Drosophila melanogaster: one gene and its partners. The gene in region 4 interacts genetically with the main gene of each other region. Each region holds a gene or a part of one and is shown on either strand. Other genes may lie near its edges.

Region 1 (7,685 bases), on a different chromosome or scaffold from region 4:
ATCAATGTTCATAAACATTGAAATTATTTCAAATCAAGATGGAACTGAAAGCTATTTATTTGAAAGTAGTGTAGACCACCCACCACCGACTGGCAATTTTTTTCATTTTTGCGGAAAAGCGGTGGTGTCCCCGTGTTGACAGCTCAATTACTCACATGACACAAAGCCTCTGCGTGGCCCCCTGCAATTATCGCGGCAATTATTTGCAATTAGAATTGAGTTAATTTACTTAAAAAAGGATTTTCTGCCGTGCCTGCGCATTTTTGCCCCTTGACGTTTGCACTTCGGCACGTGTGTGTTTTGAGTTTTCCGCTTTTGTGCAATTTGCGTGCATAAATTTTTATTGTTCCAAAGGGACTACATAATTATTTTGTTATTTTTCGTCGTTTTCACTTCTGCTTTCGAGGAGAGTGCGCTTCATTACTATTTCGATTTTACTGCGACTGTATAATGCTACCCATGTTTGCAATAAGTTCGCGTTTAGTAGTGTTAAACACGCAATAAAAGCGAAGGGAGGGAGGAGCGATCGCACATAAACATGCTCGCATTCTAAGCACACGTACAGTCCGGGCCAAGAAAATAGGTTCGCTTGACTTCAATTCAAAAGATTTCGTAACGAAAAAACTTTAGTTTCGTTGCTTTACCCATTAAAAAAAATTGGCAGTGCATTTGCGAATAGAATTTCGATTTGTTTCCGCTTATTTTCGTACCGAAAACACTCTGCCGAAGGAGGGCTTCATCGAATTTTAGGTTCAATTACTCGCCGGTCCCACGCACGAAAAAATTCGTTGACGCTGCCTTCTCTTAAACTCCTCCCCTGAAACTACGTTCCCTTCATTTTTGTTGTGGTTGCGGTGGGGTGTTTACAGTTTGATTGTGGCTGTGGGTTGACGCCACCTCCAACACCACCAAAGGCCATGCACTGCAAACAAATTAGTGTGCATCTAAAAACAGCAATGTCTATTTAATTCGAAAAAGAGTTAAGTAAAAGAGTACTCAAATGTTAAATCTTAGTTCTTCAAGTAACATTGTTATTTGAAATACAAATGTTGCATATTTTTCTCGCCGTGTGATCTGCTGCACACAAACACGTTCGCGCTCACGTGCTGGCGCCCCCAACTGCAGATAGGGCATTTGATTTGTTTAAAACAAAACTTTCGTTGCCTGTATGGGTGTAGTGGTGTGCACTTGGCTGCCCCAAACGCACACTGAAACCAATTACGAGCACAGGAATACGAATACGAATACGTCACTCAGAGGTCTTCAGAAATCAGGGCTGCGGACTAGCTGGTGATAAAGAAGGGATTCAATAGGGATACATACACTAGATTTATACTCTCTTAGGGCTACAATAAGTACATTACTAAATAGATAAATATTAAGAAAATGGAATATAATAACTCAATTTTCCAGTCTTAAACTTATTAATAACTGTAGAAAGTAGTTTGTGTTACCTTTAGATACTTTAGGATGGACCTGCTGCTTCGCATCCCTGGCGAACTCACACCGATACACAATACGAATGCAGTTTGGGCTGCGTTCAGTTCGTCACTCACTCAGTCAGTCAGTTCGTCAGTCAGTCAGTCAGTCAGTCAGTCAATCAACACTCGGCGCACTCAGTTTGCTGGGCAACCCGTTCGGCATTCGTTGTCGATCGGTCGTGTCGTGCAGTTGACTTCTGATTCGCGCTCGCTGCCATTTCCACTTTGCGTAATTTACGGCGAAAATAAAAAATAATACGGCAAAAGGCTTAAATAAATGAAGTTATTACGGTGATAACGATTGAATTGAAGACTCGCAGCGGAAATGTAACTGCTGAGGCGACTGGATTGGATGCCCGATCGTCGTGGAGGGTCGCGTTTGCGATTTGCATACGAATAAAATAACATTTTGATGCTGAATTCTTGTCCGTGTGTGTGTGTGTGTTTGTGCGTGCAATAAAAATAAATAAAATAATATCTGCAATCTCAACATCATCATGTGTAGGTTCTTAGTTCGTACATAGTTCTCGTTTGCCTCGAGTTGCTCGATTTTTGAGTTTTCCTCCTCGCATCAAATCGAAACTTTGGCCTGTTTGGTTTTGGTCTTTATCGCGCTGCGTTTTTGTGTGTGCATTGTTTGTTTATTTTTAAACATGGGTCCAAGTCCCTATTTTCTCTGTCTGTTCGTTTTTTTCTTGTTGTTTTGTTGTTATTTTTGTGGCACTAGTCGTAGTACCCTTTACCACGCTTTTTGCCCGCTTTCAATGGCAGCGGAAGTGCTTCTGTACTTCTGTACTTGTGTACTTGCCATCCATCCACCTTGATTTCTACTTCTACCTGGCTCCCATGATTTACGCCTTATTGTCACTGCCGCATTTATGATTGATTATCGATTGGAATGGTATGATACGCATGCGCGAATGCGTGCCTGCCATAAAAGTGCCTCGATATCCTCGCTCCTCCGTTTCTCCAGTTGAGTTATGATCCCTGACTAGCGATGCACTGAAAAGAAACTCACAATGGAATCACTAACCAGAAGAATGTACACAGCCGATTTGAAATGCAATTCTTCAATTTAGTTACTCTAAATATAAGACTAAAAGTAGATTCACTTTAAACCAAGAACCATCAATTGAATTTGCTTTGAAAGCAATGAAGAACTTTCCTTCGAGTGTGGTTTTCTTGAAAGCAGAAAGAAGACTGGGCCACTTTGGGCGGGTACGTTGGGTACGTGATCTCAGCTCGGGTAATATGTAATTGCGAATTACGATTATTGATCTTTAATTGATATGGGGAATGTCCCATATGATAATGGATCATAAAGGACTTATTATATTTATATTTAGTATCGTTCAACTCGAGATGCATTGAGAGACAAAACAAGAAAATCGTTTAAGTGCCTAAAGAAAGCCACTTTGTTGTTTGGAAAACCATCAAATCTCCGAATAAACATCATAAATATGTTGAATATGTTGTTATGATCGTGTAAATAAAGTTTTTATGTAATTCCTGCGAATTAATGGGGTAGTTTCCCCTTTTGAAAACCGACTGATTATGTCGAAAACCTCACCTGCAATCGAGCTTTGCACAAACAAAACGGGGGCATTATCGAAATTTGTATGCCTGCCCCACTCAAATCAATCGAATTCCACTAGAGCACCATTGCCACCTAAAAACACACGACACTAGTCAGCTGGGTAAATACGTAGGGTAGAGTTCTCTATCTCCACTAACCCCCTCGATAAGTCTGTCCGCCAAGTGTCACTCCGTTTGTATCCTGAGTTACTGAGAAGGAGAGACCATGTGAACTGGTACTCCACTGTATGTTTAATTTTGGGATTAGTTATAAGCAAAGGTGTACCATTTTCGATAAGGTACCGATTGTTTGTTCGTAATCCTAATCTTTTGGAAGAGGTTTTTAAGCTAGTTTTGGTAATCAAAATGGTTGTGTGACTTATCATTAATTTCAATATATTCTTGTAGGCTAGTGATAAAGTTAGAGCATTCTTAGAGCAATATATCTACCGCCGGAGGCTCTGGTTGACTTTGGGCAATTAGAAAAGTGACTGCCCCCAACCACTGGTCCTCGTTGACCACGCCCCCTTCCATGGGCGACAACATAAAATTGTCAATGCTGCGAAAAAAAAAAGAAAACGGCAACGCCCCAAAATTTTTAGGCCCGAGTTGAGCGAGAAAATCGAAATTAATTCACGCAACGGCTAATTTGGCCAGAAATATGCGCCATTTGGTCTGTCGGGAGCCCAATCGAGAGGTGTTTTCTTGTTGTCCAAGTGCTGCACTTGTTGATTTATCGCCGGCATTTAATTGCTTTTGAAATTGGATTTACCAGCCCGTTTGCTTGCCACAAAAATGGGTGGTTCGCCTAGCAAGTTCGCCTTGTGTGGCTCGCCGATTTTTGCTCCAGCTTGCACAAATTAATTGCTACTACAAATTTTCATTCAATTAGGTTTTGTCACTTTTAAATTTAATCAAACATTTTTTGACACCTTGAGTAAAGCAACGAGATTGAGGCTAAGACAGCCAACTGGAGCGCAGCCACTTGGCCAACGGAGAGAAGTTCCTCAGAAATGCTGTTAACATTGAAATGTCATAATTCAAATGGAATTGTTGTCTTTGGTGGGGAAAAGTATGGAGGGGGGGGGGCGTAGAAAACAGGGGGGAATACCCACAATTGTGGCGCTGACAAGTCGAACACCATTTGGTTATCATTTGCGCTCATTATGAGATGCAGTTCTCGCCACTCGACTCGAATATTACTGCAGTACAGTGGAGCCTAACTAAATAGAATGAAGACAGTGGGTTTTTATTGCTATAGTTTAGTTTTTTCTGTTGATAAACCAATTTCTTAATGCCAATTTTCTAAGAATCGATAAGGCAGCCCGAAAACCAGCACATGAAACTATTATCTGTGCTTCATAAATTTACCTATTATTCATATATTTTTGCAGAATTGTTGTGTTCGAAAACTAATACTATTTATAACGTTGAAAAGTGCGAACTCTTTTCGTTCGCAACCTTTGTGGTTTTTTGGAATTCAAAGAACTGTCAGACCTCAAAAATACCCCCCTTACAATAGAATCGTTTCACAATTGACGTCAGCTGCGATTGAATACGAACAATAACCATATTTAATAGATAAAAATAAGTTTCCAACGAAATCGAGATTCGATTAATCAGCTAGTTGGTTAAGTGAAGCAATAATGGCCATTATTCTCAATGAGAAAATGTTGCAGGCAATTTGCATGCAATTGGCCGCCAACATTGAAAGTGGGAGGAGTCCGTTCATGACAGGAACCTCCCAACGACTTCATTCACTAGCCAGAAACACGATGCACTGCCAGGCCCCATGGATACTCACTCCTCCTCCAATTTCTGCTGGGCACTTGGCCAAGCGGGTAAAGACACTCGAAGAAAAAGGGTCACATAAGTTGCTGACTTCCCCTTTTGTTACGTATAAACATTTGCTTGAATTAGATGCAAAGTTTTCTATAACATTTCTCTCAGTGCATTCGAATTTTGCATGCGTTGTGTTGTGGGCGTTGCTGAGACAATCTAAGCTCGATGATGAATGCCTGCAATTCTATTTGTATTTATTATTTATATTTGCTTTTTACTTGCTCTTTTCACAGACTATCCGCCCGCTGATAGTTATACCGGTTATCGGGTGACTCCACCCCAAATCAACGGCGGCACCACCACCACCACCACCATCAGCAGCGGCAGCAGCAACAACAACAACATCCACCACATCAACAATAACAATAACCACATCTGCAGCAGTGGCAGCAGCAACAACCTCAATTTGACGACAGCAATCAGCGGCAGCAGCAACAGAATGGACACCGACGATGTGGAATCGAACACAAGCAGCGCGATGTCCACACTGGGCTCGCTATTCTCCTTCACATCGCCGGCGGTGAAGAAGCTGCTGGGCTGGAAACAGGGTGACGAAGAGGAGAAGTGGGCGGAGAAGGCCGTCGACAGTCTGGTGAAGAAGTTGAAGAAGCGCAAGGGCGCCATCGAGGAGCTGGAGCGTGCGCTCTCCTGTCCCGGTCAGCCCTCGAAGTGTGTCACCATTCCACGCTCGCTGGACGGACGATTACAGGTGGGTCACAAGCCACATGGCCAGCTAAGTAACAGATGATTATTAACTCCTATTTCCGAATATCAGGTCTCCCATCGCAAGGGTCTGCCGCATGTGATCTACTGCCGCGTGTGGCGCTGGCCAGATCTGCAGTCGCACCACGAACTGAAGCCACTCGAGCTGTGCCAGTATCCGTTCAGCGCCAAGCAGAAGGAGGTGTGCATCAATCCGTATCACTATAAGCGCGTGGAGAGTCCGGTGCTCCCGCCAGTACTCGTTCCTCGCCACTCGGAATTCGCGCCCGGTCACTCGATGCTGCAGTTCAACCATGTGGCCGAGCCCAGTATGCCGCACAATGTGAGCTACTCGAACAGTGGATTCAACTCGCACAGCTTGAGCACCAGCAACACATCGGTGGGCAGTCCGAGTTCCGTCAACTCCAATCCCAATTCGCCGTACGACAGCTTGGCGGGAACACCGCCACCCGCCTACAGTCCCTCGGAGGATGGCAACTCCAACAATCCGAACGACGGTGGCCAGCTGCTGGATGCTCAGATGGGCGATGTTGCCCAGGTTAGCTATTCGGAGCCCGCCTTCTGGGCGTCGATAGCCTACTACGAGCTAAATTGCCGCGTGGGCGAGGTGTTCCACTGCAACAACAACTCCGTGATCGTTGACGGTTTCACGAATCCTTCCAACAACTCGGACCGCTGCTGTCTCGGCCAGCTGAGCAACGTGAACAGGAATAGCACCATCGAGAACACACGCCGTCATATAGGTGAGTCGATTTTAGCACTTAAATTAACTTACTCACAGAGATTTCCCATCAGCAACTATCTTAAAGTGGTTAATAACTAAGATTACACATTGGTAATCTTAAATTAGAAAGCGACTTGTGTTTATCAGTTATAAAAATAGGCATTGAGTAGAGTAGAAAGCTATGGACTTCAAGAATCCAACTACCTGTCTTTTTAACTCAAAATGTTTCTTCTTCCCCAGGCAAGGGTGTTCATTTATACTATGTGACCGGCGAGGTCTACGCCGAATGCCTATCCGACTCCGCCATTTTCGTGCAGTCGCGCAACTGCAACTACCACCACGGATTCCATCCGAGCACCGTGTGCAAAATACCGCCGGGCTGCTCGCTGAAGATCTTCAACAATCAGGAATTTGCTCAGCTGCTGTCGCAGTCGGTGAACAATGGATTCGAGGCCGTCTACGAGCTGACAAAGATGTGCACGATCCGGATGTCGTTCGTGAAGGGCTGGGGTGCGGAGTATCATCGCCAGGATGTGACCTCGACGCCCTGTTGGATTGAAATCCATCTGCACGGGCCGCTCCAGTGGCTGGACAAGGTGCTCACCCAAATGGGCTCTCCGCATAATGCAATTAGTTCGGTATCCTAAGCTTAAGATGAGGCTCGAGTCCTCAATGGAGACGGAAGAGAAGGAACACAAAACCGGTAGCTAAATGATGAGTGCGTGTGAGTGAAAGCTAAGTGTGAAAAGACGTAGAGAACACAGGACAATGGAGAGAGCATAGGTCTGTAGGCCTGAGGATGGAGGTCCATGCCACTCAGTCGCAGATTTATATAGATGATGTACGGCAGCTACTCCAATACCCGCCCTTTGCCCATATTTTATAGTTTATCGTATGATTTTCTATGCGAATGTCATTCCTAACGCTAAAACAGAGTAATGAAAATGGACAGCGAGCTAAGAAACCAATTACAAAATGGTATAACTATTTACAATGATCTACATGCTATAATATTAATGATCTATGCCCATTGGCAAAACAGTTCTTGTTCAAGTCTATTTCAAGTGCTAATTATGTGTCATTGCAAAACTGCTTTAAATATAAAAACACATTGAATTAATCCTACCAACTTTAATTACATAAGGAACAAGTAACTTACGTAGGGATATGAAAACACTTATTGCAATACATTTCTTAAAATGATTTTGAAGAAGCCCTAGCTTATGTTTTATTTTTCTCATTTGCGGTTCGCCTTGGATCAACGAATTCAATGTTCAATATAGTTGATTTAAATATATATATGGTTTAACTAATTTTAAGTTGCAAACAAATCGAAAACA
Region 2 (4,799 bases), 8.3 Mb from region 4:
CTAATGACTCATGATTTGCATACTGCATTTCCTGTGACTTAATTTTTGTTGTATGTATGATGTTTGTTGTCATGTATATTCCACAAATGTAACTTTGAGTGCAATGAACTTTTTGTGGCTGGCAAATTGGGTTAGCACATGCAATGTATCCCTATTGCCTGGATTTATGTCAACCTCGAGCACAATTAAAATCAATAGAGAGCGCAGTGAAATCATTCAGGTGTCTGACAATTCCTGCAGGACATTCGTCAGTCACATTTATTGCTGGCTAGTGGAAAGTTCGACAATGGAGCTGCGTCGGAAAATCGCTCTGCATATTCTGCCCCTATTTTTAGCCATATTTCTATTCACCATGGGCGAGGCATATCTGAAGAGTGTCCGCGTGGATGAGATTCCCTTTGCCGGAAGAAAGGCCCTGGCCAATCGGCGGTCCAGCGGTATTCATCTCATCTCCAGTCTGGAGCATCAGCGCACTTTTCTTCATCTCTTCCATGTGCCCTGTAAGTTAAGCAATCTATTTCGCAATCGAAAGTGTTATATACAAGAATGGGCCATAGTTTTTCCACATTTAACTAGAATGTTCTAGATCAAGATCTCTGTATTTTGAACAAGGATTAGAACATAGGTTTCTGTGTGATATCTTCCCAATTTACAATAGTTCTTTTCAGTTTAAAAGACATCCACAACGCATTGAAATCATTTTAAGAGACGAATACGGCTAAGCCTAAAAGTATGCTATACTTTTTCACAATTTATCATATGTCGCAAGGAAACAATGAATAAACTTCTTTAGCAACTAAAATATTTAAATTTTTATCTCCTCAAGCATATGAATACTTTTATTAAGGCTAGCAGAATTACAAATCGCTTAAATTTTTACATTTCAGACATCATATGCTTTTATGCCGCGAAGGGCAAATGGCCATATGTGCCTGGATTCATGAAATACCGGGTTGACAATGCAGCTCGCAGTTTCTTCAATCAGAACGACAGTTTCATCAAACAGTTTTGCACCAAGTGGATTCAGGTGAAGGAGTGCTTTCGTCCCTTATTCGGTGGGTGGCAACTCTTTATGGAGTTCAGACATAGATTGACCTATTTAGGCACCTCTTTCCAGACAAATCAAATAACACAGATGTTGAAGTGGAAACGCTCGATGCAAAAATTCAGGGACAGCGTTGTAATTGTGACAAATTGTTGCTCTCAACGGAGCCACCTGTACCGGTCGTCTACTTCGACAAGAACTACATTGGAAACGTCAGTTCGGAAACGATTTTGAATACCATTGAGTTTCTTGAGAGTTTCCTGCCACCGCCCACTAAAAAACACAAGCGCAAGAATCGCGTTCGCGGGCGCGTAGATGATATGGATATTGAATAGAAATCGTTCTTTTTCATTCGCATATACCTTCGTAACGCACTTAGATTTTAATCATCACAATCATAACCAAAAAATCATCGCTTAAATTTGAATTCAAATTCGGTTGTCAACAGTTTTCTAGAGATAAGTGGTACACTATCTGTAATGCTCAGAATATTATGGCAAAATAAAAATTCTTTAATTAACAGAGCGCAACTTAGCTTGTTAATATAGATTCTTGTTCATGTTTTTGTATTAAATGTAAAAATATTTATTAAAAATTGCTTTAAATGTTTTTTATCGATAGGCATAGCTATACCGATATTAGTCGATAGATATGCAGCTGGTCTTAGTTTATCGATAGTACTATCGAAATTGTCATCGCCAATTGGATTCTGGTATATATTCGCGGTCGCCGGACGGTCACACTTATTGCACTTACTCCAGTTGGAAAGGCAACAGTGTTCGCGTCGCGGAAGAAACAAGAAAGAAAAACAGCGAGAAGCACTGCAAATGCATTGGCTGCATTTAAAGAACAACCGCGATTAGAGGAAGTGTCTCAGTACACAGTCGAATTAGCCATACAAATTGGCAAAAGTGTTATAAAAGAGAAGCGCGGTGGTGTGCCAACAGCCCAAGAGCAAATTCTTTTGCATTCGCTTTTGAACCGCTTTCATCGCGAGTTCCCGTTTCTCTGTGTGCGTGAGCAAAGAGCGTGTGCAAATAACTTTTTGCCGCGTTGTCCGCCTGCTGCGAATTTCCAACCGAAAGAGGACAGCGAGAGCGCGAGAAGAGAAGAGAGGATCGAGTGATCGGGTGAATGTCGCTGAAACACCAGAAGCAATCCTACCAACCGCTCCCAACGGCGGCCGCCATGGACAATCCGGCGATGATCCAGAGCAGCGGTAGCAGTGGGAGCAGCTCCTCTGAGGAGGGCGGGAGTCGTGAGGATGTGGCCAATCTATCGCCGCTCGGACTGCCTACGACCTACTCGTCACAGCAATTGATGCCCTCGGATACGGACAGCATGGAGGAGGAGCGGCACCGACTGCGTCCCCACCACCATCACCACCACCCACTGGGCGAGCACCACCACATCCCGGGCATACCACCATCCGCCGTCGTGCCATCGCGTCTCTCCAGCGTGGGCAGATCGCAGTGGTTCACCGTTACCGTGCTATGCTTCGTCAACCTCATCAACTACATGGATCGCTTTACGATCGCAGGTGAGTCCGGTGATACCTCTTTGGGTGTCCTATGGGATTCCATACGTTTTTTGGGGGGCTTGTTGCCGCAGTAGATAGGAAAATTTGTTGACACTATTGAAGAAGATTGCTATAGACCGCTGTAAAAATCACAACTTTTGTGTGACCAAAAGATTGGGCAGCCCAAAGCACTTATAGTATGTATTCATTTATATATCAGGCAAAAGAATAATAAAAACATTTAAATTGCACAAAATCTGCTGACAAAATCATAATGTTATTAATTAGCAGCCGCTAATCAACAATACTTGTGACCTAATCAGTTGAAATTTATACCTCATCGTCGACAATGCGAGTCGTCGCGTTCCCATTGTTTACAAAATGTACCATAAAGATTGCGAGCGAGAGAATTTGATTAGTGACTAATCTACTTACAAGTGAATCACGCGATCCAAAAATATTCATACAGAGCATTTTATCATTCGATTCGCTTTGCACCGAAACTCGGGACATTTCCACTGGGTGGGCAATCAATCAAGACCCATTTCGCCTAAACCTAAACATATGTATATTATTTCTAGCACTCAGGTGCGATAAAATGGAGTGAGTGAGCACGGCGGTGGCGGCACCTGACCTGCTTAGCACGGCGGGTAATGGTAGTTGCGATCGGCGATCAGAAAGTCCCCCGCCCGCGTGACAATTACAGGGTAATCTCATGTTTCAGTCGATAAATACAGACACACTGCCCACATAATTGTTGAGTTTATTATTATTAAGAACATTAGCGAAGGAAATTGATCTTAATTCATGCGGGCGGCATTTCATTGGACACTTGTTGAGTGCCGAAGTTCTTTTCACTGTTTACTTGTGTCTGGAAAATGAGACTACTACCGATTGCACTTGCACTTCGACTGGCGACATCTTAGTTACACAAAACGCGGTGCAAATCGATTGGAAACTTGTTTCAGGTTACATGGCGAAACAAGTTGTGACTGATTATTATACGTACAAGTCCGCCTCAGACGACCGTTTAATATGCATTTCTAAATATGTGTATATTATAGCTATAGTTTCGCATTTTCTTCGTGAACCTGAACAGCCAGTTCTTCCTGAGTCAGCAGAACTTTTCCACTCAAGGCCATGTGATAACGTCTTTTACTGTATGTGTAGTTGCAATTAATTTGCAATTATAAATCACTGGCTATTAGTTATCAGTTGATTGCCGCAGCGGCAATTGGAAATCGATCTTACAACCCTTTTTTTTCGGTTGCAAATCATAAGCTTTTGATTCGTGTAAAGCCACCGGATCGAGTGACTAAAAAAACATCATACGACTTTTTGCAACAGAACAGGAAGTGGAATTACTCACCGAAAAGGGGCGATAGCACTTACATACCGAGCCAAACAAAATCGCTGTTTACATATTATATTTAATATAAACACACATCGCTACTCGCCACTCGGAAATTTTCATTATTTCCATGGGCGCCTAATTGATTGTTTATTTTGAGAATTCTGCGAGCGCAAGGCGAAATAGAAAACTCATATAAACAATGGTCGGTCGCACAAGGTTTTTGTTTTGCCATTTCTGCCAGTGGCATTGTTATCATTATCAACCCCCCCCCCACTTTTTTGGGCCTTATCAAGAAGTGGCTGAAACCAGACGCGCTGCATAATCAATTGCATTGGATCACCAGCTGCAGTGCACGTGGTGTTTTGGGTCACTTTTTTGCAGTGATTAGATTACCAAGCGATTATTTGTTTAGCTTCTGCTAACTGACTGCTCTGATTGCTTGGCCCTTTTGTATTTAATGTGAATTTCGGCATTTGCAACGTTTCCGTGTGGTTGTATATAACAAGCAAAAATACATGCATACATATGCATATATTTATTTGGCGCACATAGACGTGTGTATCAGCTGATGTCTGCCCAACCTAATGGAATGCATTTAATTATAATTTTAAGTGCGTCTCGGCCTTTGGCTTCGACCTCCGACTTTGCTGAAATTCGCCTGGTTTTTTAAGCTAAAACCGACCGACTGACGGTAGTGGTGTGATGTTTTGTAACCACCTCGTTCGGTCAAAAAAAAAAAAAAAACACTGGGAAGCCCCCCTCTTCATTCATGATCGTGATCTGTGTGAGGGTGGATGGGAAGGGGGGGGCGGGGCTATTCTGTTGTTGACAGTAAATTCAATTTCTGCACCGACAGCGAACTTTGATCATCGCAAAAAGAA
Region 3 (4,608 bases), on a different chromosome or scaffold from region 4:
CCCATTAAACGATGTTGCCATCCTTATTTCTACACATATTGGGTGTTGCCATTACGCACTTTGCAGTTGTTTTGAGTTCCCGTTTTGAAATCTACACAAGTACTCAATTCTAATCGATAATATAATACAAAAATTTAACAAAACATGTGTAGGAATAGAGATGTCAATTATTTTCAAGTAAAATTTACTAGGTTTGAGTCGTAGCTTTAACATAGATAACATCAACAGAAAAATGCTTTCATTTTTCCAGCCATCTAGGCACATCTGTTTACATCAAAGCTCTGGCCAATCCACATTAAGCAACTGAGAACGCCATAGTAGAGTTCTCGGGCTACCAGATACCTGTTACTCTGTTAATGGAAGTTCGAACGAAAAATATCACCAATTTTCTGGTATGTCAATTTGAATAGGGAAGAAATAATAATATTAAAAATTTTTTCAGATATGTGACATTTTGGGCGGTTCATGAGCAACTCACAAATGATTTTGGTACATCTATAGAAATTTTCAAATCAAGTACTATACAAAAAACAAAACATTTTTCAACAGTGTGGGCGTGGTAGTTTTGGGCGGTTTGTGGGCGTAAGAGTGGACGTGGCATATCGATAGAAGTTTACAAGATTAATAAAGTGATGAAAAAATTCAAAACAAATTTCAAAGGTGTGGGCGCGGAGGCGTTTACCTTTTTTGGCGTGACAACATCAGGAAACAAACTTGCTCTGCATATATGTATGTATCTGGAAACTGCATGCTTACTCTCAACTTTCTAGATTCAAAATTCCTGCGATCGAGGCTCATGCGGACAAATCGACTCGGCTGGTAATCCTGATCAAAAATATATATGTATATATTTCGGGTCGGAAATTCTTCCTTCAACCTGTTACAGATACACATACTCGGTTAGTAAGAGTACGAACGAAAAAGTTAAAAATTCGTTTTGGCGTATCGATAGATACGGAAGGACCAAAATTGAAATAATTTCAAACTTGAAATTTTTAAAAAATATTTTCATGTTGTAGTGTTTCTCAATTTGATCGATATTTTACAAAAATTTTGAAATATCGAACTTGACTATAGTGTTCCATCTCGGTTTTACATAGAACATTGACCGTCCTACTCTTAAGTACTGCTATAAAATGTCAGTTGTATATGAATTGTGTGAGAATGAGCTCATGTATTACACACACATCCTTTAACTCGCCAATTAAATTCAATTATCGTTACCTAAATTCGTTGGTGAAGTTAATTGAATAGAAAGCAACATTTAACATTTCAATTGTCGCTACATACCTGTACAAAAACAGGGTTGATACCACAAACTATTATATTTAGAAGAGCGCAGGCGCGTACTTTTGGAAACGCCCTGGAAATTAGGATAGTTGATTCTTATTGGCTCATTTTTTCTAGTATGTATATATATATATCTTCTTCTGTGGTGTATCATTTGCTTTCGGTCTCTTATTGGCTATAAGCAGGATTATTTTGTTCTTAGACTTTTACAATCTGGTATCGGTATCGGTTTCCCACTCCTGCTGCTTTTCTTTAAACGATGTCAATACCAACGAATATGGTGTTTCATATTCAGTTTTCGCACCTATTTCGTGTTGGAATAATCTAGTCCTCAAAGAAAGTAACTACTGTGTTAAATTTTTTAACTAAAATCGAGTATACTTTCTTTTATCAAACTATAAGATGTAACTTCAATAATGAGAAATATTACGTATATAAAATATACGTTCCAAATATATTATAAAAGTGGACCGAAATCTTAAAACAAACAAAAATAATACACACAATTTAAGAAACTTCACAAAAAAAACTGTGTTAATAAGGCGAAATGAATCTAAACGGAACTTGAACGTAAGTCAACAAGTGTTAACAAATTTATCTAACAAATATAGAAAATACGCGCACAAATGTTCATAAAACAAAAAGTTCGTCTGACCCCACATCATTAAGGATTTCCTAAATATTTAAATTTTAATGTGGACATAAGGCCACATAGTGACGAAATAAACATTTTGGTTGGTTTCTCTGTCTGTCTGCAACAAAACGTTATTTTAAATTTCGAAAATAAAATCATTAGTTCGAAAAATCAATACTTACAATCGCTTAAAACAGTGCAAAATGTCGTAAAAAGTCTATACCAATGCGTATATATTCCATATAGCATAAACAAGTGTAAATTGTACTCTTCGGTAAATTGTATACGGTAAATCGGTAAGTTGTATACTCCTTCAGAACATTGAATACTATCTGGCTAAAATGTTCTATAAATTGTATACTAAACTCAAAATAAAACGTAATCGAGCTTATCGGTTTAAAGTGATATTTAAAAAAATATATATTGTTTTATTTATTCTTATATTTTTGTACCCGTTAGTCGTAGGATAAAAGGGTATATTAGATTCGGTTAAAAGTATGAAAGGAAGTGTTTCCGACCATATATTAAGCAGGATCGAGTCGGGTCGATCTGACCCTGTCCGTCTGTCCGTATGAATGTCTCGAGCTCAGGAACTGTAAAAGCTAGAATGTTGAGATTGAGGATGCAGCTTCCAGAGACATAGACACATCGACACACACAAAACTGCTACTCCCACACTTTAAAACCGCCCAAAATGCCACGCCCACGCTTTTGAAATTTTTTTTCGTAATTTTAGGAGTCTTGTGTATTTCTATTCATTTGCCAAAAAACCTGTTGCCACGCCCACAATAACGCCCTAAAGCGTTAGACGCGTTTGCGACGCAAACACTTTTGAATTTTTTTAGATTTTTCTTTGTTTTATTGTTTGTCTTGCGAATTTTCTGAGTCTATGGCAGCATGGATATTCACAGCCATTTTATTCACTTTAGCAGTTTTCAAAACACAAAAGCCAAATAGATATAGTTTAGTGCTGCCCGCCTCTGGCACGTCTTGTGGAAAGTGTAGAATCTGTTGTAGATGCAGGACCACTGGGCAGCGACCCTTAGTGGTATTGTAGTTCCTGTGGTGCTTCAACTTGGTGTAGTTAATCAGACAGAAGAACGTCATGCTGGCGACGGTCAGCTGGAAGAAGGGAGCGATCACGGCGCGCTTCGGGAACACGTAGTTGTACTGCCAGCGCCAGCATGCACGGTTCACGGCTCCGGCCACAGCGTTGGGCGTCTTGTTGCGGCGTCCCAGCCAGGCTTTACCGTAGAAGCGAGCGGGGTCTTAGGGCCCGTGCACCTTGGGGTTGTACTCACCTGGATAGTCACCAAATGACACCGCGTTCCTTCGATACTGACAGTATGTACAGTTTGTCAAAAAACTTTTTACACACTGTGAAATAGGTTGAATTTTTGATTTTAAAGGTAAAAATTAAGGGTTCTTTGCTTAATTAAACGCAATTTTTTATAAAATATAATTAAACAATATTTATTTTTAAGTCAAAAAAGAAATTAAAAATATTAATTATACAAGAAAAGAAAAAACAAATTCCAAGTTTACACAATTTTGAGATTTATAAGTAAAATAAATATTCGACAATTCACAAACTATATGTACAAGTGTGAGTTAGTCTTGCGTATTTTTATCGGTATACCAAAAACACTGTGGCCACGCCCCTCCTTTGACCTACAAAACTCCCAAAATTTTCACGACCACACTTCTAAACAATTTTTATAATTTATATGACGAAATATTTTTTTGTTATAAAAAGGGTTAGTTCTTTCATATTTGCAAAGGGGCTGTTTAATGTTGCTTAAACTTTTAAACCTGCGATGTTAGGGAATTACAAGGGCTCTACAGCATTAAAAAAAATTCGTGATAAAAACGTATTTTTTTGCTGAGTTTTTTATTTCTTGTATTGTTTTTAAACAACGGGTGACGAAATATTGCTATTGCCGTTACTCATATACTCATTTCGATCTAAAATTTGGACAAGATGAAATCGTACTCAGCATACGCATATCGAGATCGAAACATTTTCAGTGTGCAAATAGCTATCGAAATGAGAATGTCTTCTCGATGTCCAGAAGAAGTCGGTATCGAGAAGAACCGATCTCGGCTTAGAGAAGATCCGATCTCAGTATAAAGGAGAGCCAATCTCGCTTTTGGGAACAACAACATTCTTTTTATAGTTATTTAATCAATAATTTAACTAAAAAGAAAAAAGCATGACTGTTAATTTAAAACAAACCTTGTTTGGTACATCCCCAGGTGACTTTGACAATGCTCCTGGCGAGGCTTATCAAACCTCTGATGGACATCGGTCTTCTTGAAATATTACACTAATTTATTAATAATTTATTTATTTACTTAATTTCTTTAAGCAAATGTGTAAAGCAAATTTGTGAATATGTCGAACATTCAAGAAAAAACCAATGCATACACATAAATTATATTAGGTGAATATTCCACTCAAAGCTTATTGTTAATATATGTACATGTGCACCTATGTACATAGTCGCAAGTGTGAAGCACATGCATTTATGTACATACTTACATACTCACCCGATGCCAAAAATTGTAACACTTACTTACAGATGGAGAAGGGCCGGCACTTACTTTATACCACTACAGGAATCTTAAAGTGGAATAAACAAAACAACTCGCATTAATAGTACTCTCGGCTAGTAATCATCCTG
Region 4 (6,119 bases):
CCATCTAGAGCGGTCTTGATCACGAATCCCGGCTTCGGGTGGATGAACCTCACCTCCACGCCACGCTCCTTCTCCAGCTGCGTGATCTCTGACTCGTAGATCTTGCGGTTCTCAGGATCCTGGATCTCATCCACGTAGTCGAAGAAGAGCTTGCGGAACTCCTCCTTGCCAAAGGCCTCCTGGAATCGGTTGAACTCGTCCCTGCTTATATCGAGCCGCTCATCGTCACAAAGTTTGGATTGTTTATTACGCGATCTAGATGCGGACATAGCTTTCTCGCAGGCACACTTCACTCACGGAGGGATCTCTTCGGTCTCCTCTTCTCTCCTCGGCACTTTTACTACACAAATACAAATTTTCTTATCACTTCGACGGGTTTTGATTTTTTGTTTGTTTCTATTTGTTAGGGGTTGCTCAGTTTTGGGCCACGTTTCCTTGGCAAATGCGTTGGGTTTCTATTTCTGGAAGGTTCTGAAAGTACAAATAAACATAGATGTAAGTACGGACAATCTTGTAAGATAATCAGCTATCTTATATTACGAATGTATAACTGCAATAACAACAAGACAAGTCGTTTGGGAAAAATTACTAGTTTTTCTGTTTCGGCTATACATATGTAAGTTCTATGTATACCTGGCTATTTTATAGTTTTGCAAATAAACCTTGAGGGCATGACTAAATCTTGCGGAACCTGGCGAAACTCTGGAAACTTTCCAATCGAATCTGAGATAAGCCAAGTAAGTACCAGGTCCCAAGGTTGCCCTAGGTCCTGACCATTTCGCAGCCAAAAAAAAACACCGAGCTGGCATTTAATCAAATTCTAATCAGCAGATAGGCAAATAAATATTAAATCAATGACGCAGAAAGGTCGCTGTCGAAAATCACCGGCTATCCGCCGGATTTACGGGCATTATGTAAGTAGATACACATGTGTGTAGATGACTACAAACTGACCACGAGTTTTTTTTTTACTTGTCGGCCAATAAATAAATAAACGAACTGCGTAGTTTGTGAAATTCTAGGAGAACGCGTAAATGTTTTCTGTTTTTTTTTTCGAGTTTTGGTGCGATGCTTTCCCGACGAGCGTTTTTATGAGAATGGGAGCGCTACGCCCGAAACGCCGGCAAATATTGGAGGCTCTTTGCGAGTCGAGCGGCCCACAGAGAGAGCGTCCTCTGCGCAGTGAGGGGCTTTTGATAAGCGCGAAAAAAACCACTTGCCCCAATTGTTTTTGTTTAGCGGGATTCTGCCCCCGCAGCCCCTGCGCTCACACACACATTATGCGATTTCTGGCGCAACCCAACTAATTGTACAATAAACGACCACATCTCTACACACATATGTATGTATATACAAAGATAATGTTTGTATTGCGTCTGCCAACTGATATTACAAACTTATGTACATACATATATGTGCAGGAGGGCGGGGGTGGTAATTGGGGGGTCAGTAAGATGATTCCCTACGGCGTGTGTATCTTCTCCATTGCAAGGAAAACGAGGAAAATTATAACAGTTACGTGACTAAAAACACATGTTTGCGCTGTGGGAGGGGGAAAACTCTGTCGTTTGATCGATACTAGCTGAAACCCATTGATTTTCTGGACAAACCGGTCGCAGTGGACATGAAAACCCTAACTAAGCAAATGTTTTGTTATATTCCATGACACCGGGTAGGTAAATCCGTTAATTTCACTCAGGAAAACAACTTAATGGCACGAAAACTCCTCCACTGAAGATCTCCTGCTTCTCCACTTACCTAAATTGAACACAATTATGCTTTGTGAACACAACGGCACTGAATAAAATAATTGTCTGTTAAATGGGCTCCTTTGCCAAAGACTCTTTGATGGGAGTTCGAGTTTGACGTTCTAGAAACTTTTCCGCTGACCGGCTGCTCGTGTTGGTGTGCGTGTTGTGCTTTGGTATTTTTACGCAGGGGATTTGGGAAATTTGAAGACCCGGTATTTTATGTGAAATATGTTATGTGCAGATGTGGGCCCTGGTCACACTGCCCGCTAGAAGTATATCGATAGGTTCCGATAGGCTCGGACAAATAACATTTCTAGCAATGGAGTCCAATATATATTTAGTTTTTCTATTGACGTTTCTGCTGTACAATAATGCCAGAGGTGGGCATCAATTAGTGTTAATCAATTACCAAGTGCTTGGTGAAGAGAGTGCGCAAGAGAAATTTCGATTTTATGGGGTTTTAGAGCCACATATAATGCCTTGAAAAGTCACTGAGTGTTTTGGGTTTGTTTTCATATGCTGCGGTTCTGGCCAATTGCGTTGCGTATTTGGCCAGGCCAAGGCGAAAAAAGTGCCCTCGGAATGCTGATTGGTGAAAGAAGCACCTGATGGATCCCACAGAATGTATTATATAAACGGATGTCGTGGGCGTTTGCAGCATAAGTGCATTTTCTCAATGATTTACCCACGCACACCACCGTTCTGTGTGTGTATACAGAACTTGCTGGGGCGCCTGTGTGCATGTGTGTGTGTGTGTTAGTGCTGGTGGCGTTTGTGTTGGTTGGGCCGTCCATGTGTGTACATATGTATATGCTATGTGCATATGGTTTAATGTGCATTTGTTATGTTTCAGCCGAAATCAGCGATCATCTGCGGGAGGACATACCGGACTTAGACATGGAGCTCTCCTCCGCCTCATCCGCCCATCTCAATGGCAAGGAGCTACCGGCCGTGCCACAGAACTCGGTGCAGACGCATCCCAGGTGATTATATCTTAAGTCTTGAGCCCATAGCTTGTAGCTCCCGCTTCCGCCCAAAGGCTTTGTATTGCTAATCTCATTTCCCTCCTAATTGCCATGCTGCTAATCCTTAATTAGGAGACACATTAAGAGTAAGCGCCGCATGAAGAGAAGGTAAAACCTACACGACTCATGAACTAAAACATCATAAACTGGTTAACTTTTAGTTAAAATTTTGAAAATATTCATAATTTTACTTAAAAAACCCCATTTTTTTTAAATATTTTATAGTATATTATACTTTTATACCCAAATGTTAACAATTAAAAGCTGCCCGTTTGCGTAACCGATTCTTCTTCAATCTTATTAAACTCTCTCTTTTTTTTATCAGATACAAATGCTACTCCTGCGAGCCGCCCTGTCGGGATCCCTATGAGTTTACCCACACCTGCCAGAATGCGATTCAGGTGAATACTCCACCTTAAACTTGATTAAAACTTAAATGTAACTTAATTTCCGAACTTCAACAGTGCTGGAAGTCGCGCACACGCGATGCCGATGGTCAGGTGCAGGAGTCACGCGGCTGCAGCACCTCGCCGGATCAACTGCCCATGATCTGCAGCCAGAACTCCTTGAAGATCAACGGGCCCAGTAAACGCAATACGGGGAAGTTCGTGAATGTGGTCTGCTGTGCCGGTGATTACTGCAATGAGGGAGACTTTCCGGAACTGCTGCCCTTCGACAGCAATGATGTGACGGTGATAACCGCGGATACCAGTAGCATAAGCAAGATGCTCGTCGCCGTTCTGGGTCCTTTTCTGGTCATCGCTCTGCTGGGCGCCGTGACCATCTTCTTCATTCGTCGTAGCCATCGCAAGCGTCTGGCTGCCTCGCGAACCAAACAGGACCCGGAAGCGTATCTGGTCAATGATGAGCTGCTCCGCGCCACCAGCGCCGGGGACAGTACGCTGAGGGAGTATCTGCAGCACTCGGTGACCTCCGGCTCGGGCAGCGGATTGCCGCTGCTAGTGCAGCGTACGCTAGCCAAACAGGTCACCCTGATCGAGTGCATTGGACGAGGCAAATACGGCGAGGTTTGGCGCGGTCACTGGCATGGCGAAAGCATCGCCGTGAAGATATTCTTCAGTCGCGACGAGGAGTCCTGGAAGCGGGAGACAGAGATATATAGGTGAGCAACAGATTATTTGTGACTCTGTAATTTGTAGCTGTAGAAATTTTTAACTGTTTCCCCAGAAGAAAAGTGCCCTAGTCCAGTCATGACTACCTACCTGTTGCTCTATGAATCATAAATAATCGTTCTTTGTTTTTCAGCACCATATTGCTACGACATGAAAATATTCTGGGATTCATCGGCTCTGACATGACGTCGCGGAACTCGTGCACCCAACTTTGGCTGATGACGCACTACTATCCACTGGGCTCGCTCTTTGATCACCTAAACCGTAACGCCCTAAGCCACAACGATATGGTATGGATTTGCCTGTCCATAGCTAATGGGCTGGTACACTTGCACACAGAGATATTCGGCAAGCAAGGCAAGCCAGCTATGGCCCACCGCGATTTGAAGTCAAAGAATATACTGGTCACCTCGAACGGCTCCTGCGTGATAGCCGATTTTGGACTGGCCGTTACCCATTCGCACGTCACAGGACAACTGGACCTGGGCAACAACCCCAAAGTGGGCACCAAGCGCTACATGGCCCCAGAGGTTCTTGATGAAAGGTGTGTGCTTATTGGCAGTACAAAAAAGAATATTTTTACATTAACAATTTGTCTATTGTAGCATTGATTTAGAATGCTTCGAAGCACTACGCCGGACAGATATTTACGCATTTGGACTTGTCCTCTGGGAGGTTTGTCGCCGCACCATTTCTTGCGGCATAGCAGAGGAGTACAAGGTGCCCTTCTACGATGTGGTGCCAATGGATCCCAGCTTCGAGGATATGCGCAAGGTGGTCTGCATCGACAACTACAGGCCCTCCATTCCCAATCGCTGGAGCTCGGATTCGGTAAGTCGCTTTCGATTGCCATTCTCTAGATCTTTGATCTCATTGTTGTTCTCATTTTTTAGTTAATGACTGGCATGTCCAAGCTCATGAAGGAGTGCTGGCACCAAAACCCCGACGTGCGCTTGCCAGCGCTGCGCATCAAAAAGACTATACATAAGCTGGCTTCCGCTGACGAGAAGATACGCCTGGACTTCGACGAGGTCTGCGTTTAGTGGTAGTAGTCGAGCCTTAGCTGTAAGCGGTAATTTAGTTGTACCACATAGGTAGTCTAAGATTCATTCATTGACATACCCTGCATTTCACACTATTAGTTCGTAGGTATATTATTCAAAGCTAAGCCAAGATCCTGCGTGTTGAAGCAAACTAATCCAAGTACAAGACCCTTGGGAGCTTATAGTTATATAGAAGACTTTAACATATTTACTTTATGTTTGGATTGACTTTATCGTTTCCGTTCCACCGTGAGCCTAGCCTGAAAAGGGTGCCTTTGAAATTGCCTTAAGTTAAAGTTAGCATCGACTCTAATGTATGTTCTTGGGATATCATCCTGTAAAGTTGTCATTTCACTATTTACCATTATTCATTGTTCATCAAGTGCCATTTGCAATTGAGAATTGTAAACGCCTTAACTTTAAGCTCACTCTTTGAACTTTACACTAAATTCATAACTCTAGAACTTGTCCATGCTATGATAAAACCATAAGCCACACCACCAACTGACTTGCTATCTTAGTTAGTTAAGCCTTTAGGACTTAGATACCCACGCATAGAAGCATACACACCTACTTGTATATTGTACAAATGGCAAGCTATTTAAGTTTTGTATAGTCTAAACGAAATGAAATACACGAATAGGCATTAAACTTTGGGATAACTGGGTTTATTTGCTCGGTTAATGTCAATTGTCTGGCGTCAGTACCCGGAAGCTATCGTCGTTTTCTTCGTCTAGGAAGAGCAGACGGAAGATGTCGTTGAAGAAGTCGGGATAGTAGTCGCATGCGCGTTTGCAGTCCGGAGTCCAGTTGATTTCCAGCAACTGGGGCTCCATCAACTTCTCCTTATCGTCCTTCCACCGCAGCATGATGTCGGCTGCGTAAAGAGCTCGTGATTGGGCACAAGGAGCCAGGCCGCAGGGTGGATCTGCTTGACTGGCGCACTGAAGCACCTCGAGCAGCATGCTACAGATCTGCTGCTCCAGAGCCGACCAATCGTTATCCGGATACTGTTCCTGCCAGAGCGTCAGGAAGTCGTCGCACTTGACGTGATGCAGCTGCGCCTCCGTCTGGTAGTTCATCACCGTGTAGTGTTTCTCGTAGTCATCGAAGTGATCCAGCGTGAAGGGATGGTTTGCGAAACGCAGGAAGAACTTCCGGTGTATA

Evidence for each region.
Region 1: of sax (region 4) and Mad, changing one suppresses a phenotype caused by changing the other (phenotypic suppression), as found in Drosophila melanogaster (2 studies listed by BioGRID).
Region 2: of sax (region 4) and spin, changing one suppresses a phenotype caused by changing the other (phenotypic suppression), as found in Drosophila melanogaster (2 studies listed by BioGRID).
Region 3: of sax (region 4) and fuss, changing one suppresses a phenotype caused by changing the other (phenotypic suppression), as found in Drosophila melanogaster (one study listed by BioGRID).

The regions. Positions count from the first base shown.
Region 1 is NT_033779.5:3,146,726-3,154,410, reverse strand, and holds the start of Mad (mothers against dpp), read left to right. Parts: upstream 1-1,657; 5' UTR 1,658-1,978; coding exon 1,979-1,982; intron 1,983-5,131; coding exon 5,132-5,607; intron 5,608-5,673; coding exon 5,674-6,364; intron 6,365-6,585; coding exon 6,586-6,992; 3' UTR 6,993-7,685.
Region 2 is NT_033778.4:16,123,198-16,127,996, forward strand, and holds the start of spin (spinster), read left to right. Parts: upstream 1-1,783; 5' UTR 1,784-2,179; coding exon 2,180-2,585; intron 2,586-4,799. Other genes in the region: CG30095 (uncharacterized protein), read left to right, coding at 287-500, 888-1,055, 1,118-1,380. UniProt on the Drosophila melanogaster protein: Probable sphingolipid transporter that plays a central role in endosomes and/or lysosomes storage. Involved in TGF-beta-mediated synaptic growth regulation both pre- and postsynaptically via its function in endosomal storage regulation.
Region 3 is NC_004353.4:975,459-980,066, reverse strand, and holds the start of fuss (fussel), read left to right. Parts: upstream 1-1,577; 5' UTR 1,578-1,860; intron 1,861-2,805; exon of another isoform or gene 2,806-3,301; intron 3,302-4,031; exon of another isoform or gene 4,032-4,608.
Region 4 is NT_033778.4:7,804,468-7,810,586, forward strand, and holds sax (saxophone), read left to right. Parts: upstream 1-2,016; 5' UTR 2,017-2,070; coding exon 2,071-2,131; exon of another isoform or gene 2,132-2,545; intron 2,546-2,604; coding exon 2,605-2,734; intron 2,735-2,848; coding exon 2,849-2,884; intron 2,885-3,101; coding exon 3,102-3,177; intron 3,178-3,240; coding exon 3,241-3,899; intron 3,900-4,042; coding exon 4,043-4,453; intron 4,454-4,514; coding exon 4,515-4,740; intron 4,741-4,802; coding exon 4,803-4,952; 3' UTR 4,953-5,600; downstream 5,601-6,119. Other genes in the region: Nop17l (Nop17 like), read right to left, coding at 1-269; TTLL12 (tubulin tyrosine ligase-like 12), read right to left, coding at 5,639-6,119.